Sus scrofa: one gene and its partner. The protein of the gene in region 1 purifies or fractionates together with the protein of each later gene. This does not show direct contact. Links are inferred from orthologs where the notes say so. Each region holds a gene or a part of one and is shown on either strand. Other genes may lie near its edges.

Evidence for each region. Proteins that work in one complex are often made in the same cells at the same time.
Region 2: the proteins of PTGES3 (region 1) and EGLN1 purify together in Homo sapiens (affinity purification with mass spectrometry; 5 studies listed by BioGRID and IntAct, with this or other methods). This does not show direct contact. The link is inferred for Sus scrofa from reciprocal best matches to the Homo sapiens genes PTGES3 and EGLN1.

What each region holds. Positions count from the first base shown.
Region 1 is NC_010447.5:22,019,262-22,023,007, forward strand, and holds the start of PTGES3 (prostaglandin E synthase 3), read right to left. Parts: upstream 2,439-3,746; 5' UTR 2,082-2,438; coding exon 2,080-2,081; exon of another isoform or gene 1,548-2,079; intron 1-1,547. UniProt on the Homo sapiens protein: Cytosolic prostaglandin synthase that catalyzes the oxidoreduction of prostaglandin endoperoxide H2 (PGH2) to prostaglandin E2 (PGE2).
Region 2 is NC_010456.5:59,161,969-59,165,614, reverse strand, and holds part of EGLN1 (egl nine homolog 1), read right to left. Parts: intron 2,564-3,646; coding exon 2,427-2,563; intron 132-2,426; coding exon 64-131; intron 1-63. UniProt on the Homo sapiens protein: Cellular oxygen sensor that catalyzes, under normoxic conditions, the post-translational formation of 4-hydroxyproline in hypoxia-inducible factor (HIF) alpha proteins.

The DNA.
Region 1 (3,746 bases):
GAACCCAACAAAATGAATCTTCATCAGCCAGATTCTCTCTAGAGCTGGATGACCCATTAGAAGTCTTTTCCGGAGTCCCCGCTGTAGCTCAGTGGTTAACGAACCCGAGACTAGGAACCATGAGGTTGCGGGTTCAATCCCTGGCCTTGCTCAGTGGGTTAAGGATCCAGCGTTGCTGTGAGCTGTGGTGTAGGGTGCAGACGCAGCTCAGATCCCGAGTTGCTGTGGCCCTGATGTAGGCTGGCAGCTACAGCTCTAATTAGGCCCCTAGCCTGTGAACCTCTATATGCTTGGGGTGCGGCCCTAGAAAAGACAACAACAAAAATAAAAGTCTTCTCCAGCTCAAGTAACTGACTGGTAATATTCATCTTGTAAATTCATTCAGTCATTAATTAATAAGATCCCCTAAAGAATTTGCAAGATGTCATATATTGACTAAACAGAGTAAAATTTACCTGGTCTCTTCAAAACACTCATTTTCAAAATAGCATTCTTCTAATTATAGATTGCTTTTTGGAATACTGATTGTTAGACTTTTCATTGAGTTCTTTATATAACTTAACATTTCTTACCTATTTACCAATTCTACATGATCTCTGAAAAGTGTTTCTACTTCAAACCGTATTAAACATGTTATCTCTTCATATAAAGATATTTCTTGTTCCGCTACATTAGTTTACTAAAAGTTGGTAATGCTTTATCTCCAGATTCATTTTCTCACAAATGACAATCCTGCTACATTATTTGGAATAGAAATTTCAAAAAGAAAAGTACAAGTTCTTTTACACAGATTAAAGTCTTCTATTACATACCACTTCTTGGGATGGGGGAAATCCTTCCAAAATTCTAACATGTCATTTTACAGTAATACATGCATTCTTCTCAAACCTTCTTCTCCATCAATTGGCTACAGTGTATCCTTATTCATTTAGACATCTAATTCAATATACTCACCACAAATATCACCATTTTACTAGGTAAACCCTTGAAAATCCATTACTTTTTATAGAAATAAAAATTCTTCCCCTCAATTGATCTCCATAGGTAACTTTCAGGAGTACGTGGTACCAAAAAACTGTAAAATAGGCAGTTCTCACATCTGAAAAGGTAAGGCTTTTCCTGAAAAGAATGTAAAGCTGGGAATGGCAATGCAAGAGACCGCACTCGGTTAAAATGTTTTCCTTTATCATAAAACTAAGACTTTTAAAAGATCTGAAATTACCCCCACGTAAACAAACTTAAGGCAACAAAAAGGCAATTACCTACCTGTTTCATCCTTAAATTAAAATAGGATAACGAAACCTCACCTAAAGTTTCACAGAAAATATCCCTAAGTATCTTTCAACTCTAACAAGTGCAGAACTCCCTGCTCAATTGTAAAGCCTCGCTACCAGGGAAACGGCTGAGTTTTGGCAACCTCCACTCCCTTCGCGAGACTGAGTTAAGAAGAAGCCTGGAAACACCCATACTCTGGCAATCACGACACCGAGAGGGAAGTAAGTTGCGGCGACAGCATGGCCTCCCTCCCTCCAGTTGCCTAGCAGTACCTGTCGCTCGCAGTGGAGGGCCGCGTGGTGCCTTACGAAGAGCACCAGCAGCTGTGGGGTAGGACCCACCGCAGGTGCACTTGTCCCCGGGCCTGGTCCCAGCATCACACAGCGGCAGAAGCAGACCTAGGTCGCTAGGAGCGGAGTGGCAGCCCACGAGGGTCCACGCCTCCGAGGCGCCCGCGTGGCCAAAAGCTCACAGGAGATTAAGGCCTAAGGCTAAGTTACGAAGAGTTGGGAGCAGCCCTCACTGCCGAAGGGGGAAAGTGGGGTTTCCGGCACGGGGAAGCAAAGGGAAGGTTTAGAGATGGGGGAAGCGGACATCTGGAGGAAAAATGTCCTCCACCCGCCAACGGTAACCGGAACAAGGATACTGGACCTCCCACCCCCAAGCAAGAACGAATGCTACCGAGGGGGAAAAAGCCGAGGGAGCCGAAAGCGGGGGAGGGGAAGGGATGGCTTCCCGGCACCCCCCCGCGCGGCCTCGGCCTCCCTCCAGGGCGACCTTCCCTGGGTGGCGTGTCGCACTCACATCGTGAACGGGGCAAGGGGACGGGCGAACGGGTGGGCGGGCCTCTCCGGCGGCAGCTGGTAGGCAGTCGACTCCTCTCCGGTGGCGACTCTGGCGTCCTCTCCCCGATTGCGGCCTCTTTTCGCTTTTCCCTCAAGCGACGGCGGCGGCGCGGCGGGCTAGACCTGGGTTCCCAGAATGCACCGCGCGGGCAGAGCGACTCCTCCGGTCGGGGAGAAAAGGAAAGTGTAGGAAAAGGGGCGCGAGAACGGAGAATGAACGTGCGTGCGTGCGAGCGAGGGGTGGTGAGGCCGGGCGGCGGCTGGTGACGCAGCAAAATGCCCGGGCCCAGCCGCCGCGCGTGCGCACTCTTTGTTTTCGGGCTCCTGCGCGGCTTTCTAGAGATATCTACGGAAAGGGCGGGGCTTCCCAGCTCCTTCGCGATCCTTCCCGGGGCTGGCCCCGCCCCACGTCGGCTGCCTCCGGCTCGACTGGTTCCCGCCGCTTTGCCCGCTCCCCCCTCCTCGCGGTGGAAACCGTTGGTCGCCTAACCGCCCTGCCACGCGCCTTGGGCGATCTCCCCGAGAAACTGTCGCGTTAACCGAGGGAGGAAGGCCGAGGCGGATGGACGCAGAGTCTGGAGGCTTGAAAAGTGAAATAGGGGATCGGTTACTTGAGGGAGTACATCGGCTCACTGAGAAAACAGTCTACGGCAAAAAGATGGGCAAAGCCTCCGCTGGTGATATTTGAGGGAAAGGGCTAACCTGAGTCACAGGCCTGGGTCCTCCTCGCCGTCTTTCTGAGGGGTGGAGAACCTGTCCAGGGGCCGCGGAAATTCGAGGTCTTTGGCTGACCGGCATTCGCACCTGCTTTGATGCGAGAGGAAAGTTATTAAATGAGTCTAAGTTTGCGGGAATGGAGAGACCAGGACACTTGGAGTCTCCAGGCTGATCCTGTAGGGGAGGGGGGAAACCTCATCTTTTTTCAGCTGTTACCTGGTTAGGTGCTAATGGGTGTTACTAACCAAGAGAATCAAAATGGTAACTTGTCCACTCTAGAAATCGCTTAGCCGGGAAGTAAGGGAGAAATACATCAATACGCTGCTTGTTAGGACACAGAGGAGGTTTAAGGAAAGTGCCGTAAGACATTTTGGAGAGTGTTTGGAAGCTTCATATGCAGCATTAATTAGTGTCTATGCTATGCAAGGCAGGTGTTGGGAACTACAGACATTGGACCCTAGGCTCCAATCCTGTTAAAGAAAGTTAAACCCCAGCTCTCAAATACTGTGATTCTGGAGTTCCATTGTGGCTCAGCAATAACAAACTGGATTATCCATGAGGATGCGGGTTCGATCCTTAGCCTCAGTGGGTTAAGGGTGGGGAGCTGCCATCAGCTGTGGTGTAGGTTGCAGATTGCGGCTCAGATCTGGCCTTGCTGTGGCTGTGGGTAGGCCAGCAACTACAGCTCTGATTTGACCCCTAGCCTGGCAGCTTCCATATACTGCCCACGTAGCCCTTTAAAAAAAAAAAAAAAAAAAATACTGTCATTCTAAGGAGCCTACTGCTTATTTCGGAAAACAAAATACATCAAGATGTTTGAGTCTGGAGTTCCTTTCCTGGCTCAGCAGAAACGAACTGGATTAGGATCCATGTGGATGCGAGTTTGATCCTTGACCTTGCTCAGTGGGT
Region 2 (3,646 bases), on another chromosome or scaffold:
CAGAGAGGACCGTGTGGCTGGGCGGCCTCCTCCATCCAGGGTACCCTGGCCCCAAATGATTACCTGTTAGATATTTTACTTTAGCTCGTGCTCTCTCATCTGCATCAAAATACCAAACAGTTATTGCGTACCTAAAAGAAAATTTAGAATAGGGTAAGAATGATCACACTAGGGGGGAAAGGGGTATGCAAAGATCTACTAAAACTCGTAATGCCAAAGTTACGCCTAAGAATCAGAGCTGCACCCGCTGACCTAAGCCACAGCCACAGCAACATCAGATCCCAGCTGTGTCTGCAACCTACACTGCATCTCGAGGCAATGCCAGATCCTAGCCCACTGAGCGAGCCCAGGGATCGAAGCCGCAGCCTCATGGATGCTAGGCCGGTTCTTAACCTGCTGAGCCACAGGGGAATGTTTACAGTTTTATAACCTCGAATCATCAAGAAAGTTAAATATGTCAACTATGTCATGTTCTGCTTCATTTTTCTGAAAATTTCATTCATTTGGAATATCTCATTCCACAAATAAACGAAGAATCTCTGGTTTATTAAACACCACAGGGCACTCAGTTACACATTCTAGTACCAATAACGCAGAATGTGTACACACTCCAGGAAGTAAAAAGCATGTTACAAATGACAGCTCCTCAGCAGAACGGAGCAATTAGTATCCTGCAGATTCTGGCCAGTGTTCCCGGGGGATCTCACTAATCAGATGAAGAGCCAGCAAACAGGACAGAACTAAATCCTGTGACATATTTGAAGTAAAGAGTCAAGGGCGGAGTAGAGCCAGAGTCAGGGAGTTTGACACCCGGGGGAGCCGAGCCCCCAGACCACGCAGCTGCGGAGGGGCAGAGCTGAGGTCAAGGTCTGGCCTCCTGACGGCAGAACGCCTGCGGCGCTTACAAACACAGCCTCTTCTATTTCTTCAGGGGGCCCCGGCGATGGGGAAGGTGCAGAAACAAATACTTTCATATCTCTTCTGCACTTGTGCCAGTCTTTTAGTTACTTAGTAATCAGATTTCTAATATTTGGATCAAGCCCCTCCCAGAAAATAGCTGTAACCTGCCACGTGTCACTGTTTTCCTGCTGCACCCCCCCAATCCATGTACTCAAGAGAGCCCTCCTCCCCACCCACCTCTGCGCCAGACATGTGCGGCCCCACCCCCACCCCCCTTTGCCAGCACTGCTGTGCTCCTGGTTCTCTTTGGTCCCAGCTGCCACTCCGGACCCATCAATTCCAATTTTATGCCACTTTCTCCCTCCTCCAAACCCCTGGAACACTCCAGAATCATTTGGCATTTATTTACTACCTAAAATGCTTGTTCTCTCTTCATCTAGAAACCAGACCATATTCAAGAATCTATAAAAAGGAAGGTCCCTGAAAGTCAGAAAAGGCTGTGAAGAAGAAGAAGGGACAGAGACGGGCCCTGGGGTGCCAAGAGGAGGGTGAGGATGCAGGACCGCATGCCTGTGACTGGACGGGAGCCCCGGAGTTCCATCCACGGCTTCTTAGACTCTAGCCACACGATGCCAAGCCTGCTGTTTACATATGAATTAGGGCTGAAGGCAAAGTGACTCAGAAAGAGGAAGGAGAGATGACACTCTTCAGAGTGCTGGCCCGGCTCTAAGGTCATTATCAAAGCCAGCGTCTCTCCCGGCACAGCTAAGGGTATCTCACCAGGTCTAAGCACTGCATGCCCGTAATTCACTATCATAATACTCAAAGTCCCTGATAGAGTTAAAAACGGGTATTTAAAAAGGAGCACTTTTCTTAAAAACAACTATTTATTTTGATAACATCTAACATTTTAATTGTCAACATTTGAATTTGGTCATAGTACATGGTAAAAGAAAAAAAATTTAAGAACACATTAAACCTAATAGGTTTAGAAAATGAACTCTGCAGAAAAAGTGTAACGTGGAAAACACGTATTGTAAGCCTAACACATGCTTACTATTAAAGCTGAAGGGTTATTTTTCTAACATTAACTCCCACACATGGCAACCTCTTCTCTACTTTCCTTTCCCCACCCCCCGCTTTTTTCCTCTCCACTTTCATTCTGGTTACTTATCCAGCACCATTCTTCTACATCATCTCTCTGCCTCCCACTCCCTCCTGAACAGCTCCTTCCCTTCTCCATCTCATCTTTATCCCCAAGTGAATGGCAGTAGGTAAGAGATGCACAATACAAGGAGATGGGGCTGGAAAGGTGAGAGGGCCTGTGCCTCCTGCCTTTCCCCAGACCAGGAGAGGCGATGCAAAGAAACTCACATTTAGTACTATGAATCAATCTTATAAAGTTATTCAAATTAAAACCGGTTCTGAACAGGAAGATACTCATTAGAAAATGCTCAGCTTTATCCTAGGTATCCCCTCCTATCCTGCCATGCTCTTTACCAAGTTTTTCTTAAAAGGAACACTACCTTGTAGCATATGCTGGTTGTACTTCATGAGGGTTGCGACGGTCAGACCAGAAAAACAGCAGTCTATCAAATTTGGGTTCAATGTCAGCAAACTGGGCTTTGCCTTCTGGAAAAATTCGAAGTATACCTCCACTTACCTAGGAAAAGAACCAAATATGTAAGTATGGGTAACCAAGAATGCCGCAAAATTAAATTTAGGGGGGGAAAAGACCATTTCACTAAATCCAAAGTCCTCACTGGATTATTCACAAATAGATCTCAATTAACGTCTGAAGGTGAGCTGGGATTTCAAGTACATGCAATGACGTAAGGAAAAATCATCCTGTGCTTCAGGGATTTTTATAAATACTTGATCAAAAAGATGAATATTAGCGGAATCCAAAAGTCTTAAAACGACACTTGAAAGTCTGACAAACTAGGAAGCGTGTCTTTTTTATGTGTGCTGATGATGTGTTAACCTACTCTTAAAAATGTATCCATTTAAAAAATTTTTAACTTTATTTTTTTTGGCCAACTGAGGAACACGGAGTTCCCGGGCCAGGGATCAGATCCGAGCCACAGGTGCAACCTACACTGAAGCTCCAGCATCACCAGATCCTTAATCCACTGTGCTAGGCTGGGTATTGAACCTGTGTCCTAGTGCTGCAGAGATGCCACCAATCCCACTGCACCACTGAGGGAACTCCAAAATGTATCCATTTTGAATCATCTTGACTATATTACTACAAAAGCTTAAGTACTCAAAGAAATGGCTTGTTACCTTTTTAAGTTCAACAGACAATACCAACAGGGCAGTCACAGATCTGAAGGCTGCTTGTTTAAGGAAGTAAATGTATCAGTAGCAAGTGTCATCATTTATCACCTGTCATTGTGGTTGTTACTAGACCCTGTAGCTCTCCCGGCCCGGACTGGGCCTGACACACAGATGACTACCTGCTACACAACAGGACTGCATTCAGAAAGGATCGTCACTGTTTACGTTGTGGATCCCCTTTCTCTGCGGGATTAGACACACTCACCCATTCAAAGTGTGTACTGTTCTGGGACCTGCCATGGGCCCTGCGTGCAGAGTAGGGAATAATTCAGACAGCTGCTGTCCTGGTGGCAATTATACTCTGGGGGACAGGAGTGTAAAGTGAGGCAAACCCCACCCGACCCTTTGCCCTTGGAAAACTCAACTCCTAACAGGTAGACTCTCAAACGGACAGGAACGGTGATAC